Linked DNA regions of Drosophila melanogaster. The protein of the gene in region 1 interacts with the protein of each later gene in a pairwise test. Each region holds a gene or a part of one and is shown on either strand. Other genes may lie near its edges.

Region 1 (9,166 bases):
TTTCCCATTTTTCGACTCTGCACGGAACTTTATTTGGTATGGGAAAATATAATTATATTTAATTACTTGAAAACAATATAAAGATAAAATTTAATAATTTTAATCCATGCGCATTAAACTCTAATTATCTGAAATATGCAATTTCTGTTTGGCGAATTCCACAAAACTTTCAAAATGGAACGAAAACCAAGTGTAGAACTACGTTAGGAATCCATGGGAGGGGGTCAGGGGGCAATTAAGACCAGTACCCAGTACAGTCGGTACACGCACTAATTACCAGAGCATTTCACATTTTATTTCGCCAGGAAGGCATGGTGCATGGGGGAGGGGGGTGGTAAACCAGAGGCCATGAGAGAGTTTCCACAATTAGATTTACGAACAAATGAAATTACTTCGCTTTCGTTTTAATTGCCGCCCGCTTATTGGCCAGGAATGTGTACGTACATACACATAATCAGCCAAGCAGAAGGCCTTATCGCTGGCTGGAAATCTGGCGATTTTGGGTTGCATAAACCAGTTAATAACGCGCTTCCGCCCAAGTCAATTTCGGGACTACACGACAATTGAGTGAAAATGCAATGTCGTCGAATCCAACAAAGCCGAAAGCAACGAAAGCCAGGCAAATCGTCGTATCAAATTACCAAATAATGATCTGGGGGAGGGCCAAGGAAATGCCGGCCGAAACACCAGCTATAACCTGGTACTAGGCCATCAACCGGGGCGTTATGTACGTACATACATACATATGTACGAATATAGTTGCCATCATGCGACAGTTTTGTTGGGTGATTATGTCACACGCCCTGCTCGCCGGCCGAACGCAGCCATTTGTAATTGAATTAATGCCGGGGTCTGTGGTCTGGGATCTGGGATCTGGGATCTGTAATAGTTGGTGTACTATTTATGGGCCAGGTGACGGGCGGGGCCTTATCGCCAACATTTCATCGCGCGACTCCAGTAACCCTAACTAATCGCACGTAATTAAATATAATTTGGTATCGTTTACAGTTGCGTTTCGTTTGCTACACCATTTTCACCGACTTCGGGCTTTCGTGGGTGAGGGAAATCTATGCCGAAGTAATGGCTGTAATTGGGTAACTTTTTTGGGTAAATTCCATACATAATAACCGCACAAATTGCGTATAGTTAAAGGGAGGAGAAGGGAAAGCTTGTTAGTACAAAGGCAAAACACCTCGATTGTATAAGTATGAAATACCCATAACTTCTTGCTCCAACCCGTTGGTTAAAATCAAAATATATAATTTATCTGAATCATTTTCATCATCTCAAACAACACCATCTTAGCTTTGAAGTTGTCTTTGTAAGTTTTATAAGAATAATTAAGCAAACACCAAGCAGACACCGCTAGTTGATTAAAGGCTACCATCTTTGGAAGGTCTAACCAAATGGCAAGCCCCTCAAATCTATTTCATTCTCCCAGCTGGCAAATGGCAACTGGTAAATTCTTCTATCTAAGCCGCATAATGGTCATAATGAATAAGACACCTCGGACAGCAGATAGGGAACGGGCGAGCTGACTTGGCCACTTGGCTGCAATTTGTTTGCTATCAGCCAGGAGAAAAACGGCGAACGACTTATGGGGGAAAAGAAGAAAAAGGAAAACGCGCAGCAGAAATAAAATTATTTAATTGCGCAATTAAGTGCACATTTGTAGCGTTTTGCGCGACATCTGTCCCATGTGCAGGAGTGGATGCAGACCCACAGCCACAGCGCGGAGTCGAAGTCGGGACCGGAAATTCAATTGTTGAGATAATAATTACATTAGGACGTGCGCGCATGCGCGACTCTTTCACTTTAAGCCTCCGTCTCTTTCGCGCTGTGGAGCGATCTGAGCCTGCTTAGAGTGGACCCGAATTGAGTCCGAACGGGGAAGAATGTCCACACGGATGTATTGAGACAGAGGAATACCTAGTACTAGATCCATTTCACCGCTAAATTACGAAATTTCCCTATTCGAATAAACCATCAAATATCCTCTTATAAGCATATATGCTGCGGACTGAATCTGTACATATAAAGACCTGACAATTCTCTAATTTGGATTCCGATTAAAATAAATTAAATGAAGTTCAATTGTGAGGATACCATCTTATTCAAGGGTAAATACATCAAGCCCTTGCTCTTCCCGAACACTGGGTATAATAAGTGCACACCTTGCGCGACGGGCTGATTGACACGGCCACATGGGGACGAGAGATACCGTGCTCGGTACCAGATATTCCCGATCCCGGTCCGAGTTTGCTGTCCATTGAACTCGTCGGACAAATGGTCACTCCTCGTCCGTCGACGGTCGATGGTCGCTGGTCTTTTGTTTGCATTTCGCCCGTAAATGAAGCGTGAAATTGGCAGCAGTGCAGCGGACTCGATCCAACTCCGACTCCAATCCCTATTCCGATCTGCAATGGAACTCGGAGAGCGTCGCATTGTTTACTTCTTGTTAAGGCCCGACAATGGGATAATATGGCCATATAATGGCAACACCAAACTATTTGTATGCAATTGCCATTAACACTTTATTTATTGCCTTGCGATACAAGCAAATTGGGCAGCGAATGATGGTCGAAGGAGGGGGACGCTTCCAGTGCAAAATGCCGCTGGAATGGATCTGTGGATGTATAAGGCCCGCTTATATAAAGCCTAATGAAGTGGTTATCAAGGAATGGAATCTGTTAGGTCTGCTCGGAAATGGCAAGAGCTGGGCTGAGTTCAGTTTTTCATCATGGACGGAAAACATTTTTCCTTGGATTACATTAAATTACGAAGATGGATGTGATAAAAATGATGTGATGTACAAGCCTATGGCTTGTATTTCACGTTGTATCAATCTAAATCAATATTCACTTATTTAAAAACTATCAACGGCTTTTCCAAACATCCTTCATTCAAATTTAACTTGAGTCATCTACATAGCTGGCTCATTGACCTTTTTCTCAAGTTATTGCCCTTCCCCGCATGACACCCCCACTCCGATGGGTAAGCAAAACAGTCTACAGTCCGACAATCATCCAATAAAGCCAACAAAGTCATTAACGAGGCCCTTAACACTACCAAAACGGTCTATATGGCCGGTTCCAAGTCCCCACCCCAATACACGCAACTCTTTTTCCCATATGTCTTGGCTAAATTATTTAATTTATGAGCCGCAACAACTGGCAAATGCATCTATGGCAACCAGAGGAAAACGCGTTGAGCTGGGGGGCAAATAAATTTCCATTTTGCTAATCAAATTTATTGCACTTTGTGCGGGGCTTATTCAATTACGCCCAATCGAAGAGGCGCGAGAGAGAGGGCCATGCGGAGCGACAGAGAGCGGTAGAGAGCAGCTCCGCCATTATTTCGCTCCGTCGAATGCTGCTTTCCCATAGGCCGAACCGCCAGAAAGAGGCGGAGTCCGCCTCCCGGCCACCTGCCGCCTCACCTGCGACACCTGCGACGATCGATCGACATGCTCCGATCGCATCGCTCCCTCTCGCTCTGCGGCACTACGAAACACTAAAAACACTGGGAGGCCAGAAAACCACTCTCGCAACATTGGAAAACAACAACTCCAACCGGTTGTTGTTTCAGACCCACCAGAGTTTTCACCTGCGCGCCAACTGCTCACCGTGTAGTTTGCTGCCGGCTCTGGAACAGCCCGGTCATCTCGTCGCGTTCGGTTCCGATTCCGATTCGAATAGTCGAGCTGGGGATACATTGTTGTTTCCGGGTTAAAGTGCGTACGATTGCGGAAGTGTCGGTATCCTGCGCGTAGTACAAAGTTATACCCATCAAAGGTGTATCGCGATCAAAGTGAACGCTTGGTACTCGGTATCTGGTTGTTGGAAGAAGTGGACAAAAGACCGTCGGCAAAAGTTACTGTTGGTGAGAGCTACAGGGCTTATTAGCCCGGTTAAATAGGAAGAGAGAGATTCAGAAGGCCAAACATTATCAAGACCATCCGTACAATATCTGGCGATTAAGGAGGAGAAGGAAGGTTAGTCTCAGACATTTTATCAAAAATATATGAAACATTCTTTGGACAGAATAGGATTTGTTATATCGAGAGCGTGCATTAAACAGGGAATCCTAGTTACTGTAACTCATAATTTTTTATCACAACCGTAGTCATTGCCTTATATCATATCAAAGATAGGGATTTTCTTAATCAAGCAATTTATATAAATTTTGTTTTAGCCCTAAACTAATCTTGACCCTTTTCCGCCACTTCCGATCCCCAAATCACATAAACTTATTATCACACCTTGCGAATAACCTACTTCTCAGCATGATAGACAAATACTACAAGTATAAGCCATAAATGAATTTCATAATTCACCTGTCTAATCATCCCAATCAATGTGAAGAGGGAAAAATAAAACGTATGACGAGACATAAATATCATTAAATTTGATTAATTTCCCACCTGGACATATCAAATCAGACAAATATCAAGCCAAATCGTATCATCGCTGTAGAATAGAATTTTATTAACTCAATTTTGAGGGTCGAAAGATTTCGCCTTTGCCTTAGCTGATAGTTCGATAAGTTTATCGCTGATTGGTTTTAATTAAACACCATTAAAGAGTACAAATTGTCAGCAGTGCAGTCAGCGCCAATAAATCACGTTTTGTCTAGCTGATGTTTTTCCCTTCTAGAGGTGGTTTTGGTCGAAAGTTGGGGGCATAGTCTTATGCTTGTCCCGTGTACCTACAGAATAAATGAAATTAACCAGCCACACCTATCACCCGCCGATAATCTTGTCAAAAGCCACTGACCACTTAGCTTCGTGACGCGGACGAGGGCCCCGAATATATAGTGAAAATAACACAAATATAGACAGATATGTGGGTCCTGATAAGGCAAAGGAAAACCGGGACCCTCTTTCCTGGTGATAATCGGGCACTTGGCCAACTGATTTAATTAATACTTATAACTCATGTGACTTGTCAGCACAAGTTTAAACGAATTTGTGACGCAAGTTGGTCGCAGTGTATTTGTATCTATGAGGTAGCATCATTCCCAATAGATAATACCGAAAAGATTCGATAAGATTGTCCCGTACAGCGTAAAATTAAAATATGTTCTCCACCGAAATGTAGTTCAATTCAATTACGGCAACATACAATTAAAACTTGTTGCCAGATACCTTAGATACTGTATCTTGTAGATATACACCCGAATTTTTGGCAGCTATCTGAACACGAACTCTGATTTGATTTGATTCGCTGTTGTTCGATTGCTCGACAGCTCCCAATTTGGGGCGCTGTCTTTTGAAGGGATGTCGGTTGATTGTTGATCGTTGATGGCAACACACCCCCCGAGAGAAATCTTCTCCAGCGGGAAGATGGCGCCAGGGCCCTTTGAGATGTGCTTCATTAATTCTTGTCCCCTGCCCCTCGCTAAATGGAACATGCAAACATGAGAAATTAACGTCGTCGTCCACAAATTGCCCACCGTCTGCCTCGGATTCGCTTATCAAACCACACAAGACAATGACAAAGGGCAGGGCGGAACAGTCGAAGATGGAGATGGCGTCGGGCAACAGTTGTCCAATCCCCAGATCCCCGATCCCCGAACACCGATCACCGATCCCCGATCCCCTCCGGTCCCAATTTATAGCTCCTCACTGCGACTGCTGTTCTTAACATGCTTTTTATGAGTAATTGGCCCCGCATCAACATCACCAACACGGGCTAAGCTTGTAGCTACAGCATCGCCATTCACCATCAACAACTTCTTGGTCTTCTGTGTGGGTCTTGAGTTGCTGATCCTGGCTCTGAGTCACAATTTGAACTTGCGTCTACCTTTGGACTACCGTCCCGGCACTCTGATCCATTAGGGTGGACACGGGGTAATTTTTGCTACCTGGGAGCGAATCTCGAATGCCCTTGGAGAGCTCGAAATCCATGTGTCAATACATTTTTACCCAAAAGTTCAAGTACATACAATTTTTATTGTATTTAGCTAATAGATAGTCTCAAATGGGAACGTGTTCTGCCTGTAGACCTAAAACTTTAATGTATACCTTAAATTGTAGACATATTAGGGATTATATAGGATAAGTAGATCAACAACTTAGTTGACCAACTTCATTCACCAGGCGTAGGGGAAGGGTACTAGACCCTTCGTTGCAACTTCGTCTGATAGGCAGTAAATTGAATTAAGATTGTGGAAAAGAACAACAAATGAGGCAGCAACTTCGACACAGGATATGAATAAACTAATTATAATTGGGAGTGTGTGCATTAGAGGTCCATAACGTACACCCCAGAACAAGAGGTACAGAAACAGACGATGATGACGGCGCCTGGCCAACAACAAGAATGCTGCCTTATCGCACCTGGTCCAAAAGACGGCGCCAAGAAACAAACAACCCAACAACTGGAAGGTGAATGGAGGGCTCAGGTGCAGCTTAAATGAGATAAACACTACGGAATTGACTCGACTCGGCCCAGCTCAGCTGCTTGTGATATTAGTTAAAAACATTTCTGGGTGACTTACAAGAGCTGGTCGAAAATAATAATTGGTCTTATCGAACCAAAAGTAAACGACCAAGCTTGGAACGTCGCTGGCCAATCCGTCAACTTCTCCAGGGGACCACCAAGGGACTGGTATCGGGGGCGATCATTGAGCTTTCGCTCGGGGCCAAAAGTTAAGCCACCCAAAATGCTTGCCATTATCGAAGAACCGGAGGCGAAATTACAATGCCGATCATCAAAGTGTGACTAAAGTGGTTTAGCCTAATGTAAACCCATAAATAAGCAGCCCAGATACCGGCCAGACTGGGGACTGGCTGGAAACTGGAGTCTGATCAATAAAGTCTGGAGAGTGGAGGATCGAGACGGAGGCGCATTAACGAAATGCCAGAAAAGAGCTTCTGTTTGCTGTTCTACCTGATGCCGTCCCTCTGGCCCGGCTTTTAATGAAATATGCCAGCCCAACAGTCCCCAGACACCGAGAATCGAGGATCGAGGATTGCACCGGGAAGATCGGGAGCCGAAGGAGCTAAAACACAAAAGTGCAACCATAAAAACGACACCAAACATGAAGGAGCCAACTGAAGGCCCAGCCGAAGTCGCGTCTCTGCGGAGAGGAGCTGCGCAGCTTTGAGTTGTGGAAAGAGCAGCCAGGCAAGGCAGAAACATTGATGCTTATCGAGATGACAGAAGTGACGACAACGGACGCCGGACAGCGGACAGTGGGCAATGGAGTACATCGGATGGACGGTGGACAACCAAATAGATGTAGCTTCATACACTTGTCTCGCATTACGAATTAATTTCTTCATTTGCCATATGAATGTACTGAGAGAAAGTCGCTAAATGTAGGATAAGTTTATTAGCTACGAGTGAAATAGCTCCAATAGGGCGCAACTTTTTTTCCAGTGGCTTTATGACTGTGCTGGGCTAGGAAACCCACACAGCCTACAATGTTGCTCTTAAATATTTCCCCAGACACTAATGGAGCTTATCTCTAAACGGAACAAGCAACCGCAAACAAGTTGCCAGACTCGGACTCGGGCACAACTCAAAACCCCAGACTTTGACTGAGATTTGGAATGGGACTTGGTCTGCCTTTGACTTTGACTGGCGCTTGGCCTGATTAGCATGCAGGGCCTAAGAGGGCCAAGACGCCGAGTAGTTGTGTCAAAATGTTAGCCACGAAATCGCCCCCACCAGAAGTTCGCGTCCTCCTATACCATCACATTTCATCACATCCACATCCCAGGCTTCCTGGAGTGGTCGCCTATCTGGTTTTGGGCAGAGCAAGTGCAGCGTTAACTTGATTAGTTGCTGACCAGCCAGTGACTTAAACTAAATGAAGCCATGCGACCAACGCGACCAGCGCGACCAAGCCAAATCGGTAGGCAGACGTCAAAAACTTGACAGTTTCCAGCAAAGTCTCTGCCTTTTAATTACCCAGTGAACCGTCAATCAGCGGAGGATTCCTATTCCTGCTGCTCCGATTGCCTGGCCCATAATAAAGTCGTAACGCGGATACAATTATAAGGCGGCTCCACAACAAAGCTGAACGGCACACATTCCCCGCATAGCTCCAAAGTGCTCAACGGTTCCCATTCGCATTCACATTCACGTTCACATGCAATGAATTAATCAGTGCTGGTCTTGTAATGAAGTCGGTGGCAATCGCAACTAGTTACTAGTAGCATAATTGCAAATTCGTACAACTAATTTAATAATTTGCTGACCGCAAATTAAGTTTGTCAGCTGTCAATACGCGGAATTTGTTGACAACATTGAAAACTGACATGGCAACTCATAACCGAAGTTATGATCGAGCCCAGAAATGAGTTATGAACTGGAGTTAACTGACAAGGAGGATTCATGCGGAATGCTTGGGCGAGGTGAGGAAAGATGCCACTCAAGCTGAACCTTCTGGCTTTGGGGAACGTCTTGAACCACTTGCAGTGCACTTAAACAAAAGCTTTGGAAATAAAAGAAATCAATAAATCAAAAGCAACTAACAATATGTTAGGTGATCTTTCGTCAATCAACTTCAAATAATAATTTTAAAACTTTAGCAATTTTGAAGACCAAGTGTCAAGATTTTTTTTTCAGTGCACATTTCCCTTCTCTGGCTTTGCTTGTTTGCCAGTTGCAACTTCATTCCGCGCAAGAATGCAACTAAATCAATCACCGCCACACTAATTTGCCATTTAACAAGGTATTTGGACAATTTTGATATATGTAGAGATGTCAACAGAAGCGGCGGCCATCAATCAAGCGGAGTTTTGGGCATGGGACATGGGTCTGGAGGTAAGGCCCTGATTTTTGAAGCTCAGAGATGGAAGCAGAAGGGGAAGGTTACAAGCCGGGCCTAACCACTTAGTTGTCATTTAAAGACATCGTATATTAATTAGCCAAACATGGAATTAGCAAGCCAAGCAAGCTCAAACTTCGGGAGCTGTTCATGAAGAAGAGAAACTCGGGCCCAGCTAGCATCTGATATTAATTTGATCTGATAGAAGCCACATGGACACGGGTCTCGAACGGTGACCACAGCGCAGCCGTTGAGTTGATGATGATGAAAATGAAGTTGCCGCCCAATTTAATTAAAATTCCAAACGATCTGCACATGAAGTCTGCTGTTGCCGGGAAGCGAAATAAGCCCAACTCAGCGCCCGATGAAAGACGTGTTGATGGAA
Region 2 (7,869 bases), on another chromosome or scaffold:
TTGCCAAGGAAGAAGTAAATGCCCGAAGAGCATAGACATGGGACATCGATAAGGATCGATAAGCATTGGCAATAAATTGCCAACCAGAATTCAAATAAAGCCAAATGCCGGCTAATCTCCATTAGGCAAATACGTTGAGCTCACCGAAAATGTTGTGATCCATTTCAGGACACGGTGTTATTGTTGTTGCTCCTCTTATCTGGGGGCGTGGAGCGTGGAAAGTACGTGGGATTTTGGGCGGGTGGAAAAGGTCAATGTAAGTGCTTTTCATTGAGCAGTGAACTGCGAACGAAAATGCGGACATAAACTTAATGGAATTTAGATTTCTTCATTACGGCAACAGGTGAAAGGAGCATCAAAATGTGGCCTTTTATACCGGCTTGATTACCTGCACACATGAAAGAGATTCCAGATTTGGGTCGCTTAATATTCGGGTTCATTTTCATTGGATTATAAAGAGCTTTTAGTCCCGGGGCTAAATGTTCGAGGCCCGACATCAATAGAAAATTGATTTGCGCTTGATAATTCGAAAAAGGTAAACAGGATTAGCCTACACATTTGTGGATAATTGCCAGGGGGCCGAGTTACTAGCTCCTTCGCTCTTGAGTGTAAGAACGCACATAGGAAGTTGTTTAAGCCAAGGGGAATCGATTGGAACACGTGTCGCAAAAGCGGGTGCTCACTGTACAGCATGAATAACTATGGTAACGTATGTGCCGATGCTTATTATTATTTACACTCGGCTACAACATTGTCGCAGGACTCGAGTGGCGCGTGTGGGTCACAGCCCAGTCGATATTCTGTGCAGTGCACACACATGGGCACACCACAATCAAGGAGTTTCGTCCTTTTGGTCCTGGCCAAGTTTTATGCTGAGTAATGGCCATGGCCACTGCAGAAGCATTGCTGCGAGTGGCCGTAAAGAATCGCATTCGCAATCGCACTCGCACTCGTAGTTTACATAACGGTTTTACGGCCAGCACTTAAATGCCATGCGAGTCATAAATGGCGGGCAGATATCGAGCATACGCCATGTATGCCATGTACGCCATCCTCGGCCAGCAATCTTTTTGGCCCAATTGATATCCTTGCAGGAAGTGCGCCGCGTTCATTGAACCCTTTTTTGGCAATGATCGCTGATGCTGCCGTACGTCGTACTGATGTTAATGATGACGATTCGGGATGCTACATTGTATGCCATGCATACATGACTTCGAACCCGGACATAAGTTCCAAGCAGAACATACACAACATCCGCCGACCAGCTTCCGTCTCGAATGTTTACGCTCGGCTTCAGTCGCAGAAGTTCGTTATTAGAAAAGTTTTAATGTGGCTCCCAAACGCACAACAACAACAGACACACTCGGAAAAAGAAGGCAGTCCAATTTGGTTTGGGGAAAAGTATCTGGGACTGCGGAGTCTTGGATGTTTTAATGCTATATGTAATAGATTTCTAGGAGAGGTTTTTAAGCTTTGTAAGATTACAAGAAATATCTATCTATCTAAACCATCTATTATGGTCTAAGTAGCTTTCTTTGTTAAAGTAATGGTTTTGTTGTAATCCTAATTTTTTTGAGTGCATCCATGCAGGGACTTTTGGCATTATGTGATCCGGAGTTGGGGCTATTCAGAGATTCCCCTGGCCAGCCACAAATATGAGCCTGACAAACGACTGGCAATGATCTGCTGTTGCCACTTAATAAGCTCCATTTGCGCCAGCCGCAAATATAAGGCGACCTTCGGACTGTTGGCTTTTAATTTGCCATCGAAGGCTCTCGGCCGAGTGAGCAGCAAAGTTTGATGATGCCGCCGCCGTCGCCTAAGAGAAGTATTCGCCGGACTGGGCCAAAAATTTACATAACTGAAAAAATATTGTGCGGGCGGTCCTAAACGAGGCACAAACGCTGCCCTGCGGCTTTCCACTTGCTGCCTGCTTACAAGCATTTTTAAAGCGGTTTCCCTCATTTCGCCCCTTGGTTTTCCATTTTTTTTTTTTTTTTGGGAGCGAAAGCAGATGTAAAACTTCTGGCAAAGAAAAAATGCCATGGCAAAAACAAAAAAAAAGAGGGGGAAAAAATATGAATGAGGCAGCCTTCTAGGCAAATGTGTTCAACATGGGGTAACACTGTGGGTGTGCTAGCTGGTTTTTCCACTCTTTGGCTTTGAAAAGGGGGCCAGAAAAAAACAACGCTGGCCAGAAAGTTAAAAGGTGGCCCAGGGGCCCATGCGACACATGGCCGAAGCATATAGAGAAATGTGGGTCGGGAACACGTGGCGGCCATAACTGGTGCCGACTTCATCGATATTTCATTTAACCCTTTAATAAAAGATATGCCCGGCTAACTTACTTCATAACTTGTCGCCGCCTTCGCTCTCCGTGCTCCATTTCGATTTTCCCAGGCGGTTAAGAAGTTTTCGAGAAAAGTTTAAGGAGCCTCCGAATCTAGCCGCTGGCAAATTGAAATTGATTACAAAAGCAAAACAATTGAGCGATATGTATTTTGTGGCGATGAAACGGAGGGGTTGGGAAACAATCCGAAATGTTTATTTATACCAGGCATTTTGGGTTCGATCGGTGCCCATTTGCATAAGCGACCGACCAGCTTATTACACAATTTAATATGGAAATGACGCGGCGCGAACTTGAACCTCATTTTCAACGGCAGTACAGCTCAGCTGGCTTTCAGCTTGTGCTCCGCCGATTTGCGCTGTTTGCGTATGTAGGTCTTGCAGTAGAAGTCGAAGAACATGGAGAACATGAAGATGTTCTGAATGAAGCCGATGAAGGCGATGAACACGGGAAACTGACACGGATTCCGGACAATAACGAGCAGGAAATGAAAGGTGAGGTAGCCAAACTGCATCAGCTGCAGCTGTGTAATCCGCTGCTTCCACCACAAAAGATTCTTCACCGCGCCTAATGAGGCGGCATAGTAGTAGGCATACATCACCGTGTGCACCAGGAGATTGATTATACCCAGCATGCTGCAGTGTGATCCACCCAGGAAGGTCATGAAGATGGACACGCCGAAGACCATGCCGCCATGGTGATACACGTGCAGGAAGCTCACCTGCGAGTTCTTCTTGCGCAGCACTATGAATACCTGGGAATGCATTTGTATATGGGTATAGAAGGTATATAGACGGTATATAGCCCCCAACTAACCGTGTCGAGCAGATCCAGATACTTGAGCATGTAGTACGCATACGAGGCGTACAATGTCTTCATCATGGCCGGTGATCTGTCCGTGTGATCCACTGGCTGGCAGGTCCAACTGTATCCCGGCTGGAGGTAGGTGTTGCTCAGGCCAATGACGAATATCGTGGCATTGGCCAGCACCTGCACCACATTGTACACCTGCATCACACGTTTCAGCTCAAAGGGAGCACGGTTCGCCATCCAACGTGGTCCGTAGTGGAGCACAAAGGCCACATACAGCGCCACAATGGCCAGCACGATCCATAGATTGCCCAGCAGGGGCAAGTGCGCCACTCGGGGATCTCCGTGCTCGGCGTACAGATCCCTGACCAGGCAGTACAGGTAGGCCACCATGTTGTGCCGCATTCTGGATCCTCGATTCAAAAATACTCCCTGCCGAACTGCCGGAAAGCGATTTGCAGTCCACGAGACACGAGGGTCTTCAGTCTTCTGAACGGAACTGCTCGAAAGCACAGTCTATCCAAGCATTCCGGCTGGCTATGTTAATGACCGTTAAATGAGAAGCACCACGCATACCGGATTAACCCGTGTCAGGCGTTGCACTGCCAGAGAGATTCTCGTTCTTTGTCGCCGGTTTATAAACTTGGAACTGCTTTGGGTTTACGCTCAAAAAACACTGAAGGAAAACGGGGCATAAAACCACACTTTCAAGATCAAGTGCCGATCATCTTTTCCATAGTTGAAATTTCTTAAAAGACCTAAGCAATCTCACTATGAAAAGAAATTGGTTATCTCTTTTCTAAAAAAGTTGTGACCAAATTGTGCCACATTTTTTCTTTATCTCTATGAACTTGTGCCTGTCAGGGGGTAAACAGGGTTTAGCTATTACTTGACAATGTATGAGAATTTATGGGCTATAACCAGCCGCTACGGAAACTTTGCTGAGTGGGAAAAAATGATGCTCCAGCGGGCAAATGTTGGTGGCGGTGGGTGGTGCGGGCTGTTAGCTGCGGTCGATGGGTGGTGACATCAATTTGGGTTACTCAACGTTAATCGTTTGGCTCGCAGCTTGCGGCTGCGAGATATATGCAACTAACCCAGTTTACAAAGCATGCCAATAAATTTGCAGCATAACTGCCAATATAAGCGCAACTGTTTTGAAATTAAGCCAAAAGCGAAGTGAAGGAAAAGCGGAAAAATGGCGGTAACGTCAGCTGCAGCATCTAGTATCCGGCATCCCGAATCCAGTTCACCAACATTCACCATCCAGTGACCCACTGAGCGACTCCGCCATGCTTGATAAATTCGCCAAGTCTGTACAATGGCTGTAAATAGCCGCGGGCATCGGACAAATGGCTCTTAAAAACAACAGCAAGAGCAGCGGGAGCTGGAGGAGCTAGATGAACTGGAAGAGGAGCTGGAGATCGCAGTCGAGCCAACTCAGCGAAATAGGCAAAAGTGTTTTACGACCTGGCTTGCAGCGCAAACCGAGGGCCATGCAAAGGAGCAAAGGAGCAAAGTAGCAAAGGAGATGGGCTGCAGGTGGCTAATCAACCTGAAGCAGGTGCAATTTGTTTGCGCAACGTGCAAACTTGGCAAGCATTTTGTGGTCGAAAGTTTACAGTTAAGGAGCTTCAGTTTATTTCGATAAGTAAATGTGCCAATTTATAGAGGAGAATCAATCAAGGATCTGTACGAAAAGTTTACCTTATTGGCTATTAAACAAGGCCAGGTGGGCTAAGTTGGGCGAGGCCATTTCACTTACTTTCACTCGCGTGTCCTTAAGCCGCAAGTGATGCGATATGTGTACAGCCCACACACACACACACACACTCACATGTGAATAAGAGTGTCCTTGGGGCTCCTGCGGTGACCTTGTTGTGCGGCAGACATTGAGCCAGCCAGCGCCAAAACAATCATTTGCATTTCACCTCCCCACGGACAATGTAATGGACGTCAGCTCATTTGCACAAATAAGCCATAACCGTCGCACGTTCCCCTCCGATTGGCGGCCATTTTCGGAGTTACAGGACGACAGGACGATGGGACTTCAGGAGCGAGGAGCCGCTGCCAGTGGCGTTGCAATAACGGTAATGGCCGCGGTAACGACAACAGCAAACAACAGAAATAATAATGATAATCATTTTGCGCGCACCGGAAGTATGCAAATATACGACTCGAAGGACCAAGACGTTGAATGTGCGGATATATACGTATATCCGTATATCCGTATATACGGGCATGTGCGGATTCACGGTTATAGGGCTTTTTGGCGATGCCCCGGCCAAAGGAAAAGGAAAAACTCTGGCCTTAACAGGTCGCCCTGAAAATTAAAAGTCCGCCGCGAATGAAGCGTTAATGATGGCGAGTAAGTAAACAGTTTTTGGGTCGACAGCATAAATATGAAAATGAGTCCCGGCCACGCCCCCTTATGTCTCTGCTTAAAACATAGTGTTGTGCGCCGTTGTCGCTGGCCATGGCATGAAATGAAAATAATAATCTCTTTGGCCAGGAAATGAAGGGAAATTCAACAGGAAACTTTTGTGACGTGCCGCAAACAGTCCGTGCAAACACACTCGGCGACTGTTAATGCGAGTGTGTGTGTGTGTGTGTGTGTGCGAGTGGGTGTTTGTATTTAAATTGAAAGGCCCAACACAAACACAGGCCGACCAACACTCATGCAGGTGTTAAACTGCGCGGCGTCTCTTTGTGTGAGTTGCCAATGCAAATTACAGTCATTTGGCCAGATATTTTTTTCCAACCAACTTCCTCGGGAATTTTATTTAAAAGCGTTGAAAAATATATAGAGCTTTTCATTGGATGGGAAACTGCTCTACTCTTTTCTACGATTTTTTCCGCCACTTTCTGGCCTGCACTGTCAATGGCATTGTTGCTTGGCACGCACTCGCACTGCGAAAAAAATTGTATCAATTTTCGTTAATATCCATCTAGGGAAAAAGTACTTGAGAAAAAAATCTCAAAAAATATCTATTTGTTTTTTTTTTAAATCCAAAATAAAGGCATAACATTTTTAATTTATTCCTTTAAAGGTATTCAACGACAAAAAATGAAATGAATATTCTCAAGTAGGTTTAAAAAGAATTTTGCCATTAAGCTCGTTTTAATGATTTCAAATGAAGAGCTCGTATGAAATACGAGGTATACGAATCGAAGTATACGTGGTTATACACATTATTTTTTTACGGTGCACCTGGTGCACAGGCTCACCTGTTTTACACGCTGTGCACTCCACGCGGGAATAGCAATAAAAGTTTATGTGCACTTATTATACGCCCAACTGGCCAAAACATTGCACCTCCGAGAACTGTCATTAGTAAATAGTGCATAATTTTCGGGACAGCCGACAATCTGTGCACGGGCGTCTATAATTATCACCCCGGCAAGTGAATGGGCGATAATGGCTTGATTTTCAGCTCGGCAAAAGAACGTAAATGGGTATTAATTATTATGATTATGGCCGTTCCGAAGACACTCGAATCTGGCATAGGAGCTGGTATTGCCATGGCAGAAATGCTTTGCCATTTCGCCTTGCTTTCCTATTTTGACAGCGGCTCGTTCAAGCGGAATTTGGCAAATGCCGAAAACTTCAAGGGTATTATATAAATGTTGGCCCTGGCCATGTCTTGTAAGCATATTTTGAATGCCAAGCAAATCCACATCGCGCCACTCCACTGCATGCGCCACTCCACTCTTTGCCACATTTGCCCCATGTTTTAGCCATGAAAGTCACTTCCAAAGTTCAAGTCAATGTCGCAAAATGTTAACGGCGCGTTAATAATGCGATTAGTGGATGCTACAGACCCATTCCGATCCAACGATCCAACGACTACCCAACCAGCTCCTGGGCGGGCTCCTCAACTTCCTATTCAAAGCCAAGAACCAGCATGTATCCCCGCCGGAGGAAGGAAAACACACATTTGAATGCGACCGCCCATCTGAAGGAACATGCCAGAATTGGCTTTAATTGGTAAAATAAACGGAGGGAGCTTGGGCCACAGAACATGGACTCCCCCGGTTCTTCAGCTCCAGTGCTAATTAATAAATTTCTTGGGGATTTCTCGCTGCGTCCTTTTCGGGATTCGACTGCCATAATTATCGCATGGCAATCGCCCAGGGGACGCGGCATGCAAATGTGTATGCTAATATACGAATTTATATGGGATAGACGTACGAATGAATATCTGCATAGGGGAGCTCCTATGTACAATATATATGTATATGATCCTGCGAAATCCCCGCTAAGTGAAGCCTTCAATTACATTCGTCGGTGTGGCGCTGTCGGCATCAATCCCCTGGTAATAGGATATTTTCAATTTCCATTTGCCCGCTCGTATATTTTGCAGTTTCGTATTTGTTTTAAGTTATGCGCCCTCTCCAAGTCTCTCCAGGGGAATCGTACAGTACTTTGTTTTTTTCGCCTGCTCGACCCATCCGAACATATTTCATTGATACGCCGTTTCAGTGGAGCTGGCGGCGGAAACATGACAGGGTACATATATTCAGCAGGATGTACATCTGGGCCTAGCTGGAATATTGTCAAGCCGGCGAGTAGAGAGGAGATCTGCCACGGGTCGTCCTGGTCACGTAATTGAGCCCTACACCACGGGGTGGCCAACCGGCTGGCCGAGACGAGTCGGACGGAGTTGAGTCGATTTCTGGGCAATAGAAAATGAATTGTATGCACGGAA
Region 3 (7,724 bases), on another chromosome or scaffold:
ACTGCCGAATGCCCTACGGATATACTGGAGTGATGGACGTTAACAACGTTACTTCGGAACCGGATGACGTGCAGGGGTCCTTCTTCTTGGGCTCCACTCTGAAGTATTTGTATCTGCTCTTCTCCGACGACGACGTGGTTTCGCTGGAGCAGTGGGTCTTCAACAGTGCAGGCCATTTCCTGCCCATTAAGGGCGTGAACCCAATGTATCGTCAGCATAACTCATCGAACTAAACATTAGCCAATTACCAAAATAGTTAGCATCTATTTAAAGTTTAACTTTTAATGCAGACATGTATAAAAAACTTGTGTGATCTAATACTTTCACAATGAATTACAAAACCTAATTTCTAATTAGCTGGGAGCACACACATTGAGCACACCTAAAAGCACATACACACATAAATGTCAAATGTCGAACATTGGCCCGCTAAACCATCGCTGGCATCCGCCCTAGAGCTCTAGAGCTGGCTGTTGGCCAGGTGGTTGTCGATGACCCGCTGGATGATCATCAAGCAGTGGCGCTGCCTGGCCACCGTGTTGTCGATCAGCTGTTCCGTGAACTGACTGGCCGCAATGTTCGTGTTGGGCGGTATATCCTGCGTGCAGGATATGTACCTGTTGAAGATCTCCGTGTTCAGCGACGTGGCCAGATACCGCTCGCTCTCGTCCTGCTGCTGCAGCTTGTCCAGCTCCTGGGCGGCCAGCAACAGCTGATCCTTGGCCTTCTGATATGATTGCAGCTCCTGCAGGCTGGCATACTCGGCGCTGCTCAGTTTCACGGACCTGCCGCCGTCTTTCGTCATCTGGCGAATGTGGTACTTGCGCTCGGCCACAAAATTACCGAGCAAGTATCCTGCGAAACCACGACACACAAGAGTGACTCATTAGGCGCTGTCCTGTGAATGCACTCACCTGTTATCAGCATGAAGAAGCCAATCGTTAGCACCAGGGAGGCACAGGTGCGCTTGGAAACGTACTCGCGGAACTCCCGAGAGCTGTTGGCCCGCACCGCCGTCTCGTAGCTGAGTACCTGGTGCATCCTGATGACCTGGTCCCCTTGGGGATTATAATCTGTGGGGCCTGCTTGGCCTAGTCACGTCGAGACACTCGGATGTGTCCTTCAGAACTGGGTGGGAACATGGTGCTATCGGTGGTATCTAGTGCCTAAAGCATGGAATTTGTAATTAAACATTAGAAACTGTATCTGTGAGTTACAGCTGTAAGTTTCTTAATTACTTCGATATGTTCAAGGATTTAAGAGCGCGGAACTTGGAATGATATAACACCTCTTGGTATGTCATGTCAGGATTTAATGTTCTCCTTTCACATTTTTAGTTTGAGCACTAAAACCGCAGTGTCAATGCCCCGAGTTCCTGTTCTGGCGATGCCGCTGATACGGAGGAGCGTGACTTAATCGCCCCACCTTAAAAGGCAATCGCGAAGCCCGTTGTTATGGGCATCGCACACGGCAAACAGCGCGGTCCTTTAAACGCTTCGTCGAACACTTTTCACTCACTCGCTTTATAGGATATCGTCGGCTTGGCTCGACTCTTGTGCTGCCAGGATGGGGTACATATGCATTAAATTAATTAATGACTGCACTTTTGTGTTGCACTGCCCGAAGGAAGTGGGCTACAAGTGTGGGAATGTCCTTTGCGAAGGGAGCGCGCTCAACTTTTAATTGTATTATTTATGCTTTATTTACTCGTCGCGTTCGCTCGGATCCTTGCGCGTTATCCTTGCGAGCGGTCTGAATGCCCGGACGCCCAGTCGGGAACTGACTCACGCTTCGTTGGGGGTCGGCTTTAATAGCTCTCCGTTCTCCGTTTTCCGTTCCGTGTGGTGAGTTTCCTGCCCCGATATGTTGCACATTTCAGCGTGGCACTACGTCGGCGGAAGGACGGTCAAGGGGAAGCTCGGAGAATGCAAACAAAGGCATTCCCAGTAGCTTCCTAATGAGGAATGGGTCCGCCATTTCGCCCACTCCGCCCGAGGCGTTCCTCAGAAACTATATCGGATTTCAAGCCATCGCCTCACTTTGAGTGATACTGCTGCTCCGTAGTTCCGAAAGTGGACCTCCCTTTTGATTGCCATAATCGTATTTTCTTTTCTGCTTCACTATTCCCTGCAATACTTCAAGGATATCACATGACCCTCGATTGCCATTTCTGTTCCTTGGGGTTCTTTGAAGTCCCCCCCATGACACCTTGCTTGCACATTTTCACTTGTTGTGCTGTGACATATATTACTGGGAATTTATGCATAAACTCAACCATTGCATACAATTTGAATATATATTTTGAGGTACGATTATAAACTTTTGCTTTTCTGAACTTGAAGTACATAATCCCATAACGCACTCTATTACTAAGTTAATCCATTGGGTGGCATAAATTAAAATAATTTATTGCACGATAAGCTTGTACACTTCTATATGTGCATCGATAGTGACTTCATTGGTCTATATAAAAGTGTGAGACCAACAGGAGATTTTAGTATACAAAATGAAGGCTTGCGTACCCATATTGGCAGCCCTTTTTGGATCAGGGAGCAGACTGGCATTTACTATTAACCATGGTTAATAATTCTTTATGATTTAATAAAATTAAATGAATTAAATTGCTTGAACTTGTATCCACTCAGAATTGATTGAAGCACTCAAAACACTCTTATTCCCTTTGCTAACACTTCATTCATACTGCCAAACACTCGTCTTGAGTATCTGCTAGTATAAATCAAACTTTTTCGTTGATAAAAGTGCTGCGAGATAAGATTTCGCACTTTGAATTAGCATCGATAGTGATTATGGCTAAGCTATATAGTATTGGGACCACCATGGGAGCCTTTTAGTCTTTCAATATGAGGGGTCTTACACTCTTGTCGCTCGCCTTCCTTGGGGTCTGTAGTGCCCTAACTGTGCCCCATTCGCTGGTCCATCCACGCGATCTGGAGATTCGTCATGGAGGGATTGAGGGTCGTATTACCAACGGAAACCTGGCGTCCGAGGGTCAGGTTCCCTACATCGTGGGTGTGAGCTTGAACAGCAACGGAAACTGGTGGTGGTGCGGCGGATCCATAATCGGACACACTTGGGTGCTCACTGCTGCCCACTGTACCGCTGGGTGAGTTATTTGATTTCACAAATAATTAACGCTCTTTGATAAATCATCGTATTGCAGTGCTGATGAGGCTTCACTGTACTATGGTGCCGTCAACTACAACGAACCTGCCTTCCGCCACACAGTGAGCAGCGAGAACTTCATCAGATATCCCCACTACGTTGGACTCGATCATGATTTGGCCCTGATCAAGACTCCCCATGTGGACTTCTACAGCCTGGTCAACAAAATAGAGCTTCCCAGCCTGGATGACCGATACAACTCTTACGAAAACAATTGGGTTCAGGCCGCCGGATGGGGTGCCATTTACGATGGCAGCAATGTGGTGGAGGATCTGCGAGTGGTGGATCTGAAAGTGATCTCCGTGGCGGAGTGCCAGGCTTACTACGGAACTGATACCGCCTCCGAGAACACCATCTGTGTGGAAACTCCGGACGGAAAGGCCACCTGCCAGGGTGATTCTGGTGGTCCTCTGGTCACAAAGGAGGGTGATAAGCTTATCGGAATCACTTCCTTCGTCTCCGCTTACGGATGCCAGGTTGGAGGACCGGCTGGCTTCACTAGGGTCACCAAGTACCTGGAATGGATAAAGGAGGAGACTGGAATCTATTATTAAAAAAAAACTTTACTAATTTCAAAGCAAAAAGGTGCTTAAACAAGTTTTAAATAAATGAAGAACATATGCTGTTATATTTTGTGTATTATTAATTTCTTGGAAGATAGTGGCATATTCATGTTTAGAGATAAAATTACCAATAATACATAATCAATACATTACATATTACATAATACATACCATTTAATACATTACCTATGTAATATTAACCTATTAGTGTTTTATTTTTTGATAATCTAAAAATCAACTTGTTGAGAACAAAAACTGTACAATGTGCCGTATGAGTAATATTTTATCACACTTTTTTTTGAAATTGGTAGTAAATACTTTCAATAAACATTATTCAGAATTTAAATTTCTTAAAGATCATAAAATACTTTACTCCTCATTTGGGTAATCTGAGTATATAATATATTTTAGGTGAAGTGAATGTCCTTACATGATACTATCATACTGAAGAGTAAGTTGCAAATAAGGCACATGTCATTCCACTTCAAATTTAGGCCATAATTTACAAAAAAAAAAAATCACCTGTAGTGGACTTATCAGTCGACGATGGCTCGCGATGATAACTTGATTAAAATTTACTGCCCTCCCATTTTACATACGTGTGGAAGGAAGGGCTCTTGGTCGAGATAAGACTACGGACCACTTCTGTATATAAAGGCGCTTCGACATCGGAACACCATTGAGTTGCAAGACTTGACCAAGATGAAACTGTTCGTATTCCTGGCCTTGGCCGTGGCCGCAGCTACTGCTGTGCCCGCTCCCGCCCAGAAGCTGACCCCGACGCCCATCAAGGACATTCAGGGTCGCATCACCAACGGCTACCCAGCCTACGAGGGCAAGGTGCCCTACATCGTGGGTCTGCTCTTCAGCGGCAACGGAAACTGGTGGTGCGGTGGCTCGATCATCGGCAACACCTGGGTCCTGACCGCCGCCCACTGCACCAACGGAGCCAGTGGAGTGACCATCAACTACGGAGCCAGCATCCGCACCCAGCCCCAGTACACCCACTGGGTGGGCAGTGGCGACATCATCCAGCACCACCACTACAACAGCGGCAACCTGCACAACGACATCTCCCTGATCCGTACCCCGCACGTCGACTTCTGGAGCCTGGTCAACAAGGTTGAGCTGCCCAGCTACAACGACCGCTACCAGGACTACGCCGGATGGTGGGCCGTGGCCTCCGGATGGGGCGGCACCTACGATGGCAGCCCACTGCCCGACTGGCTCCAGTCCGTCGATGTCCAGATCATTTCCCAAAGTGATTGCAGCCGCACCTGGTCTCTCCACGACAACATGATCTGCATCAACACTGACGGAGGCAAGTCCACCTGCGGAGGCGACTCTGGTGGCCCCCTGGTTACACACGACGGCAACCGCCTGGTCGGAGTGACCTCCTTCGGATCCGCCGCTGGCTGCCAGTCTGGTGCTCCCGCCGTCTTCAGCCGCGTCACCGGATACCTGGACTGGATCCGCGACAACACCGGCATCTCCTACTAAGCAGTTGATGTTCAATAAACGATTATAGCAAAAATGAAAAATTCGACCAAACTATTTATTCAGTTGTAGATTGAGGGGCACATTATTGAGAGCTAAATATTTATATATTCTATTATGTACATTAAATGTACATATATTATAAAACTAAAAGTAATCTCATATTTTCCTTAAATGTTTTTAAAACGAGATTGTTTAACTTATTTTTATATCCTATTTTTATATTCTATCCATATGATAGCTGTTGAACGCTAGTAGCGACTATAGGGTATTCCTATATTTAAAACTGTTTAAGCTAGGAAAGTCCACTTGCAGCTATTTATAATAACATAAATTTATATTATGTTTATGCACTTTAATTATGTTGCAAATATAACAAGTCCAATATTCTACATACACCATTTTCAATCCAGTTTGCTTTTTATATACATAATATACATAATAATTATAAACAATACATAATAATAATACATAATAATAAGACGTATGATCCATATATATATATTTGCATATAGTCCGATGGTTCGTCATTATGTGTTCCTAAAGCTTGATTTTTTCCGATACATAAATCGGAAATCGGAATAAGTTTATTTCCGTTTGCAGTTTAATATATTTCCCTTCACTTGGAAATATTTTATTGATTTCATTACTTAAGCAAGAAGACATCTGAATCCCATCCCAAAAACAGAACTTGAGTTGCTTGCTATAATCGTTTATTGAAGAAACCCCTCAGAATTAAGGAACATCAACTGCTTAGTAGGAGATGCCGGTGTTGTCGCGGATCCAGTCCAGGTATCCGGTGACGCGGCTGAAGACGGCGGGAGCACCAGACTGGCAGCCAGCGGCGGATCCGAAGGAAGTCACTCCGACCAGGCGGTTGCCGTCGTGTGTAACCAGGGGGCCACCAGAGTCGCCTCCGCAGGTGGACTTGCCTCCGTCAGTGTTGATGCAGATCATGTTGTCGTGGAGAGACCAGGTGCGGCTGCAATCACTTTGGGAAATGATCTGGACATCGACGGACTGGAGCCAGTCGGGCAGTGGGCTGCCATCGTAGGTGCCGCCCCATCCGGAGGCCACGGCCCACCATCCGGCGTAGTCCTGGTAGCGGTCGTTGTAGCTGGGCAGCTCAACCTTGTTGACCAGGCTCCAGAAGTCGACGTGCGGGGTACGGATCAGGGAGATGTCGTTGTGCAGGTTGCCGCTGTTGTAGTGGTGGTGCTGGATGATGTCGCCACTGCCCACCCAGTGGGTGTACTGGGGCTGGGTGCGGATGCTGGCTCCGTAGTTGATGGTCACTCCACTGGCTCCGTTGGTGCAGTGAGCGGCGGTCAGGACCCAGGTGTTGCCGATGATCGAGCCACCGCACCACCAGTTTCCGTTGCCGCTGAAGAGCAGACCCACGATGTAAGGCACCTTGCCCTCGTAGGCTGGGTAGCCGTTGGTGATGCGACCCTGAATGTCCTTGATGGGCGTCGGGGTCAGCTTCTGGGCGGGAGCGGGCACAGCAGTAGCTGCGGCCACGGCCAAGGCCAGGAATACGAACAGTTTCATCTTGGTCAAGTCTTGCAACTCAATGGTGTTCCGATGTCGAAGCGCCTTTATATACAGAAGAAGTCCCTTGTCTTATCTTGACCAAGTGTCAAACTACCCATATGTTGAGCTGGAGGGCAGTAAATTAATGTCATCCAGATTACATAGGAGCAAAAAGACAAAAAATAAACAACGCAGAGGCTTGTACAGCAATATAAAAAACGTAAACTTATCAGTGTTCAATGATTTGCGAATCAGTTAAAAATACAATAAATTTAATGTTAAATACTACTCATCGGATGCAATTCATAAAATCATTTTCTACGTGGGTACATTCAATTTGTTTAAACACATAAGTATCTTATCGGTGCCATAAAGCAAATCAGCATTGATACTATAGATTTTTACGATCATGTTGAGGGCTTAGAGATATAATTTTAATACAGATGGCCATAAAATGAATTTTATCCCGCAATCTTGACGGTTTCCGGTGGGGAGACAGTGAAAGTGCAACCTGCTACGCAAACCCAGGGAAAATGAGCTCTTTCGCTTTTCTCGTGGAGAACTGAGCACATAACTCACAAGGGTCCTTAAAAGCTAAATAAGGCAGGAGTTTTGTTGGAGGCCAATGAATCATTGAGTGCAACCCAGTTGTACACTGCAGAAAATCATGTATAAACCCAACATAGCATTTAGTTAATGGGAACTTATAAGAAGAATGTGCATTTAGCCACATTTGTGTAATGAGGAGTACCTTTATATAATTACGAGAATGCCATCCAGGTATTTTCAGCTATGGCCTCTAATTAATTCGCACTTAATGAGTTCCCCTCGACAGCTGTGACTTTAATTTTGAAATTCCTTGGGCCACCATCACTTCCTTCCTCTTCTCTTGGAAGCCATGCGAGTGGAGTGTGGAGTGCATTGGCCCCGCTAAAAACCCCGTACGAC
Region 4 (7,772 bases), 4.6 Mb from region 1:
CTAACTATCGATGCAGCTAAGCGAATTATACTGTAATACTACTTTTGAATGACCACAGGACGTGTGCCCTAATCTCTGTGCGCTCCTGTTCGAGTGTTCCATTGAGTTGTGGCTCTGGGCATGAATGGGGGCTTATTGGCACCTATCTTAAGATCAGCTCCGAGTGGCCGCACGTCCATGTTGATAGGGTCGGACAATCTTCTAATGAATGAGTGGCAGTGGGCAATCGTCAGATTGAGTGGTGGCAAGTCATGAGCCGGAAAGTGTCCAAATCGGATGGGTAGATCATTGGAGTACCCTGTAATGATAGTGCCGCATTTTGGAGGCGTGCGAAATTAATTTGATAAGATTAGTCCGACCGGAGTGTTTAGAACTTTCGAGTGGCGAATGGTGAAGATCTCTAGCGATATGAATACGTCGGATTTGGGGGGTATATAAATCACTGCCCGTCGGCGGAGTATCCACTTGCACTCAAGTAATCAACATGAAGCTGTTCCTAACTGTCCTGGCCGTGGCCATTGCCTGCGCCGCCGCCCAGCCTGAGAAGGTGAAGCCGGTGCCCCTAAAGGACGCCGTCCTGGGATCCGGATCCGGCTCGATCGAGGGTCGCATTACCAACGGCTATCCCGCCTACGAGGGCAAGGTGCCCTACATCGTGGGTCTGGGCTTCAGCAGCGACAGCGGTGGCTGGTGGTGCGGTGGCTCGATCATCGGTCACACCTGGGTGATCACGGCTGCCCACTGCACCCACGGAGCTCACTCCGTCACCATCTACTACGGTGCTCTGTGGCGCCTCCAGGCTCAGTACACCCACACCGTGGGCAGCGGCCACTTCCGCCAGCACTCGGACTACAACACCAACAACCTGAACAACGACATCTCGCTGATCAACACCCCGCACGTGGACTTCTGGCACCTGATCAACAAGGTGGAGCTGCCCGATGGCAACGAGCGCCACGACAGCTTTGCCGGCTGGTGGGCTCTAGCCTCCGGATGGGGCAGGCCTTGCGATAGCTGTGGCGTCTCCGACTACCTGAACTGCGTGGACTCCCAGATCATCACCCGCGACGAGTGCTCCAGCGTCTATGGAACCGATGTGATCACCGACAACGTCATCTGCACCTCCACCCCCGGCGGCAAGTCCACCTGCGCCGGCGACTCTGGCGGCCCACTGGTCCTCCACGACCGCTCCAAGCTGGTCGGTGTCACCTCCTTTGTGGCCGCCAGCGGCTGCACCTCGGGCCTGCCCGATGGCTTCACCCGCGTCACCAGCTACCTGGACTGGATCCGCGACCACACTGGCATCTCCTACTAATTTCGTTCTCGAAATAAACCCTTCTGCATTTAATAGATAATTGTTTTTTAATTCGATAGTTTAAATTTAAGGAATGGGGAAACTAAAATGGATTATCTTAAGGATCAAGATACTTGATTTTGTATGGTTTAGATTGATTTTCGATATCTTCATAGAATGTTTTCATAGAATACGAATGATATGGTTTCCAATTTATTATTATTTATGATTAAATGTTAAGCCTCATATTTAAATTAAATCAGAAAGATAAGTAGTGTTATAAGTTATAAAGAATTGCGTATTTCATTTGTTGTTAGTGCCAGTCTAGTTTATTTCTCTTACTATCTCAGTTTTCTATCAATTGATTTGGAGGGATTTGTTTATTTTTCAGACCTACCTTCGATAAGATTAAAGGGTTTACGCATGTGGCTAAAATCTCCATTTTGTTTAACTTGTTTATAATAAATAAAATTTTCCTTCATTTAAATAATGATAATTTATATTTCAGTTTTTCTTAGAATATTAAATACAGATGTATATTTTGTTTCTGTTTTATTTTGGATATATTTTTGTAAGTATTAAAACGATTGGATAGTTTAGAAACTTTAAGCAAAAGCTATATATAATAGCAAGCAAATAATAATTTACAGATTTGTACTAGATTTAATCTTATCTTCAATGACAGCTAACTTTTTTAGTAATTTTGACAATTTTGCTGTAAAGAAGTTCAATCAGCATTTTTATGAAAATAACACACAAGTTTTTAACATTTTTCCAACACCTATTTTATTATCACTTTCAAACATTTGTTTACACTTGAACAATAATTGTAAACTATTTTATTTTTAAGCACTTGTAATTCTTGTTATCAAAAACCTGTGAGTATATAGGGTTATCATACACTTGTGCATCAAGTTTTGGTTTGTTGTTGTTCTTATTAATTGTCTATTAAATTAATAATAGTCGAGAATCCTTCAGCCTAACTTGGCAACAGTTAGTAATAGATTTGAAAACAAGCGGAAAACCTCCAGCCATTATTACAGATTATCCTTATCAGGACAAAAAGCAGACATACATTTTATGTAAAAGTTAACAAACAACTTTATTGAAAATCATTCCTGTCCAAAGATCATTGTAAATTTTAAGTTCTGAAAAATGATGATAAGATAGAATGGTCTGCGCAAAGGTTGACAAATATATATTTTATAATTATGAATAAAACTACAAACATATTTGATTAGCCACAAAATATTATTCCATTTAGATAGATAATAATTTGGCTGTTTATTGCTGCATACTTAATATATGGTAAATAATAAAATAATATAATATATATAAATATATATAGTCTAGTGGGGGGGGTCTAGTCCCCCCTAGAGTTTCTTTGATTTCTACTACTGGCTTGGTAGAGTGGTTCCTCCATTCTTATCGATGACATCGTTTATGGGAGTCTTGAGGATTATTTACGAGCCCTTTTCGAGTTGCAGATATGGTTTTAGCTGAAAATGTGTATAAAAGGCTGCCATCCGAGAGTAGAATCCAGTATAAACATCAGCATGAAGGTGTTCCTAGCTATCCTGGCTCTGGCCGTGGCTTCGGCCTCCGCCTTCGACGAGAAGGTCTTCGTAAAGGACCTGCCCAAGGCCACCAAGATTGAGGGTCGTATCACCAACGGATACGCCGCCCCCGAGGGTAAGGCTCCCTACACTGTGGGTCTTGGCTTCAGCGGAGGCTGGTGGTGCGGTGGCTCCATCATCGCCCACGACTGGGTCCTGACTGCCGAGCACTGCATCGGAGATGCCGCTTCCGTGATCGTTTACTTCGGTGCCACCTGGCGCACCAACGCCCAGTTCACCCACACCGTTGGCAACGGCAACTTCATCAAGCATTCCAACGCTGATATCGCCCTGATCCGCATCCCCCACGTCGACTTCTGGCACATGGTGAACAAGGTGGAGCTCCCCAGCTACAACGACCGTTACAACAACTACAACGAATGGTGGGCCGTCGCTTGCGGATGGGGTGGCACCTACGACGGCAGCCCACTGCCCGACTGGCTGCAGTGCGTCGATCTCCAGATCGTCCACAACGAAGAGTGCGGCTGGACCTACGGCAGCGTTGGCGACAACGTCATCTGCACCCGCACCGTCGACGGCAAGTCCATTTGCGGAGGTGACTCTGGCGGTCCCCTTGTCACACACGACGGCTCCAAGCTGGTGGGAGTTAGCAACTTCGTCTCCTCCAACGGCTGCCAGTCGGGTGCTCCTGCTGGATTCCAGCGCGTCACCTACCACTTGGACTGGATCCGTGACCACACTGGCATCTCTTACTAATTTTTCTAAATAAATCGATCATTTTAAAAGCAATACGTTTCGAGAGTATATAAATCGGGGTCACCAACAAAATGTATGTGTTCTACACTTGTTTTACGCAGTGTAAAACAAATTTTACTCGTGTGTAGAAACCACGGCGTAAGATTACACAAATAATTTTTGTAGCAGTTTTGTGTGAATGCCAAAGCAACAGCTGATTGCTATCAAGTAAACAATTAATTACGTTTTTGCCGTGCACCAAAGGATTGAGTTGGGAGTGCTTTGTTGGTGCGTAGATCACGTAACCGGAGGCGGCAGCATGTGCACTCTGCACCCCGAGGAGGAAGCTCACCTGATGGCCATGGCCAGCGGAGGACAACCAACGCGTACGGCCAGTCCAAGGCCATTGGTCACCGCCTCCATTGCAGCACCACGATCGCTGTTTGATGTCTGCTGGGACGATGTGCTCATCCCGCAGGTTGCCGTCTACCTGTCGCTCAAGGATCTCTTCAACCTGCGCTGCTGCTCCCGTACCGCACAACGCTTTGTGGAGGCTGCGCTGGAAAAAAGGCAGGAACTTCATCTCTCTGGGAACAACACAAAGAATATCGACGTGGCCTTTCGAGTGCTGGCCCGATGTTGCCAACGATTGGAGGTGCTTCATCTGGCCTGCTGCCGATGGCTAACAGATGAGCTGCTGCTGCCACTGCTGGCCAACAACAAGAAACGCCTGTGGGCCGTCAACCTGAACGAATGCGTCAACATCACGGCCCTTTCGCTGCAGCCGATCATAGTGGAGTGCAAGGAGCTGCGCGTACTCAAGCTGTCCAAGTGCCAGTGGCTGACCACGGGAGCAGTGGACGCTTTGACGCTGCACCAAAGCAAGCTGGTGGAGTTCGACATCTCCTATTGCGGCGCAATTGGAGAGCGCTGCTTGATTATCTTCTTCAGGAAACTTAACAAGCTCACCGTCCTGTCGCTGGCAAATACGCCCAGTGTCACCGATCAGGTGCTCATCCAAATCGGGAACTATTGCCGCGAACTGGAGCACATCAACGTGATCGGGTGTGCGGCTATCTCCGACTATGGCGTGCAGTAAGTAATACTCGTAGTTATCCCTAAAAGCTGTTGTCATATTGTCAGTAAACCTGTGCGTGCCTTGTGTCTGTGTGTTTCTGGGGAAACCAATCTCCATCTGCATCCGCATCTGCGTATTTTCAGCGCTTTGACAGTGCACTGTTTGCGGCTACGGACCTTGCTCATTCGACGTTGTCCGCGGGTCACAGAACTCTCCCTGGCGCCGCTCCGCCAGCGGCGTCTTTACATCGATAGGCCACAGCCGGATGTGGGGCTCAACGCTTACAACTTGAACGACTTCTATCCCAGCGATTTCCTTGTTTACTAGCCCACACTTCGTTCTCCCTCTTCCGCAGTGCCCTCACCTCCAGTTGCCCGCTGCTGCAGTCACTGATGGTGCAGCGCTGCCCATTGGTCACCGAGCGTGTGCTCGCCCCACTTCGTGGACGGGTCCACATCGATCGGCCCGGCATGGGCTACATGCCAACTGTGCAACATCACCGCCTGTTCCTGCAGGTTTGAGATTAATTCTGATTCCGGGCCAATATTACCAATGTACCAAGGAGGCTTTCGAGGCTATCCAATACTTTTGCTGTAAATACATGCCTCAGCATGGGACGCTTTAATTTACTTTTAAGCTTAATCTTACACATTGTTAACATTAATTTAGGCTGTACAATAAACATACTAACTTATTCATCTCTCTCTCCAAAAGCTCGAGCTTTTTGCATTAAAATACATGTAAACCAGAAAGTAAGCTAGAATCGGCAAGCCGAAACTTATATACCCTTGCAGTAATTATAACATTTATACCGATTAAAAACAACGACCCGTTCATGCAGATTGCTAAACTAAGAGACTATTTGGCATAGAAACTGACAGACGGACATGGCCGTATCGACTCCGCTGGTGATACTGATATATAGTTTATATGGTCGCAAATGCCTCATCCACTGCGCTACAAACTTTTCGATAAAATAAATATACTAACTGCAAGGGCATAAAAAGCGTGGCTAAAATGTGGCCAATATAAATACAATAGTGTGCTTTAACTTTCCCCTCGTGCTTTGTGCGGCTTCCCATCATTGTGCTGAAATTAATGGCGAGTTAGAGGTAGTTGTTGTGGATGTCGCCTCGACCCCCTTTGACAGGTGGAGTTGTTGCTTGAATGCAGAGCTTACACTAATATCCTCGTCGCCTCGGCCATCTGCGGACCGCCACTGCTCATGCAGATGCTGCAGGTGAGCGTAGGCGGCCATGGACATGTTCAGACTGGGATTCACGGGGCTTAGCCCAGGTTCACCCGTGAAAGCTAGTCCGCAGAGACCGAGGTATGTGTGAAACGGATCAGGCGTGGCTTGCGGCCACTTGGCAAAGCCCCCAATGAGCTTATCCTGTGTGCTCAGAATGAATTCTCGGTTCCGGGCATAATCGGTTAGTTCGAAGCCGTCCAGAATACATAGCGATGCACCAATCCAGAAGGAATAACAAGTATCCACTGGCTTATTGGGGCGTCCTTGGAATCCATCCATCTGGCGGAAAATGAGCCAACGCTTCATTCGCTCCACCGTCGTGGCATCCAGGCGATGCAGTTGTCCACTAAGATGCAACGCCGCCAAGGCACAGAATGTGGTGCCGCCATGGGCCTCCCCCTCCAGCTCTTGGCTGAAACCGTAATCGTATCGCAGGCTCCGAGTGATGAACTGAAACATGGTCTCCTTGTTGACATCGCCCCAGTAGTCCAGCATGTAGCATATGGTGGCGGCACAATAAACAAATCGCATATCATCCTCGCTGCCATCGATGCAGGCGCTAAAACTGCCCTCAGGCTTCTGAACAGCAGCCACTCCGTCCACAATGCTTTTCCGATCCAGTCGGGACAAATCATCGCCCAGGGTGACCAGCACTGCGAGACTGGTGTACGTCATGGCCAAGTGGCCCCACTGGTAATTCCGCATGCACTCCAAGATCTCGGCGTCCTCGGTTTTGGGCACCATGGCGCGGCAGCCCTGCAAAGATACCAATTAATTAATCAATCTATTTTAAAGTGGTTTTGCATGTTGCTGGCGTCGCTGATAAAGCGTGGCGCGATAAATTCAAGGTGTCGGTGGGTGGGGTGTGGTGGGTAATGGTAAATCGAGCTGCTGCGCAAATGGAGAACTCCTCTACAATTATGCATATTTAAACAGTATAGATCGTAACAGAAGTAATGCCGTTTTGCTTTTTATGTAAAGCAGATGCGTTGACCTTGGAATTAACAATTTAATGGGTTTTCATTAGAATCCAATTATTTAAAAACAAAATTTAGATTTGTAATTTAAACTAAAGGGTCTGGAATCATGAAATATGTGATGCATGATGGGGAAACAAGACGTGGCTTCTTAGATATTTTTAACAAAAACAAACTTCATAAATGCTAATAAAGAATTGCATACTTTTTTTGTTGGAAATGAATCTTTCAAAATATTTACTTCGTGGATGCTTCTCAATGAAGGAAATGCGAATGCTCGTATATCAACTGACTGAATAAACACCAATATGTAAGGGATGCGACAACGTCTGCCGCAGTGTCTGCTACCTGGCCACGTATGGAGATAAGGAACTTGATTGGGAGTGGATGTGGGAGCGGAAGATGGTTCTGTTTGGCTTGTCAACGACTGTTTGTACACCTGACAGACGCGAATTTATGCTCACCATGAAACCGCCGCAGTTTTTCTCGTTGTCGCGTGGCACTACCAATCCTCCGTAGATCCAGTCAATGATGTCCTGCCTCAGTTGTGGCGGCACCAGATGCAATGAGTTTAGCACATCCAGGCCGCAGACGGCGAAGAACACAATGGTGCTCCTGATGGACAAGGAAATGGTTAACCAAAAGTTAAATACGAGGCCAGGATGCACTTACCTGGTGTTATCGTGCGAGGCCATGCGAGCTGGCAGGAGATTAAGGAATCGGAGCAGATTCTTGGCGTGCTTGGAGAGCAGCACGGGCTCCGTATCAGTGCGGTCTTCCATATCTATGTGGTGGGACATATTGCTTGTTAAATGAGGAACTTATGGGTGGGTAGGAACTGGATTGTCTCGGTGTGCGC

The links.
Region 2: the proteins of al (region 1) and CG6660 interact in a two-hybrid assay, tested with the Drosophila melanogaster proteins (one large-scale study listed by BioGRID).
Region 3: the proteins of al (region 1) and Jon99Cii interact in a two-hybrid assay, tested with the Drosophila melanogaster proteins (one large-scale study listed by BioGRID).
Region 4: the proteins of al (region 1) and Jon25Biii interact in a two-hybrid assay, tested with the Drosophila melanogaster proteins (one large-scale study listed by BioGRID).

Annotation. Positions count from the first base shown.
Region 1 is NT_033779.5:374,488-383,653, forward strand, and holds the start of al (aristaless), read left to right. Parts: upstream 1-3,624; 5' UTR 3,625-3,994; intron 3,995-9,166. UniProt on the Drosophila melanogaster protein: Involved in the morphogenesis of proximal and distal pattern elements in a subset of appendages. Also has a role in early imaginal disk development.
Region 2 is NT_033777.3:22,919,155-22,927,023, reverse strand, and holds CG6660 (uncharacterized protein), read right to left. Parts: upstream 3,673-7,869; 5' UTR 3,554-3,672; coding exon 3,167-3,553; intron 3,105-3,166; coding exon 2,673-3,104; 3' UTR 2,499-2,672; downstream 1-2,498.
Region 3 is NT_033777.3:29,921,312-29,929,035, reverse strand, and holds Jon99Cii (jonah 99Cii), read left to right. Parts: upstream 1-4,420; 5' UTR 4,421-4,448; coding exon 4,449-5,246; 3' UTR 5,247-5,282; downstream 5,283-7,724. Other genes in the region: alpha-Man-Ic (alpha-Mannosidase class I c), read left to right, coding at 1-233; CG15522 (uncharacterized protein), read right to left, coding at 461-855, 915-1,041; Jon99Ci (jonah 99Ci), read left to right, coding at 2,862-3,124, 3,182-3,737; Jon99Ciii (jonah 99Ciii), read right to left, coding at 5,997-6,794. UniProt on the Drosophila melanogaster protein: Major function may be to aid in digestion.
Region 4 is NT_033779.5:4,945,827-4,953,598, reverse strand, and holds Jon25Biii (jonah 25Biii), read left to right. Parts: upstream 1-2,831; 5' UTR 2,832-2,850; coding exon 2,851-3,627; 3' UTR 3,628-3,658; downstream 3,659-7,772. Other genes in the region: Jon25Bii (jonah 25Bii), read left to right, coding at 485-1,315; jet (jetlag), read left to right, coding at 3,926-4,701, 4,828-5,011; betaggt-I (beta subunit of type I geranylgeranyl transferase), read right to left, coding at 5,766-6,692, 7,378-7,528, 7,586-7,695.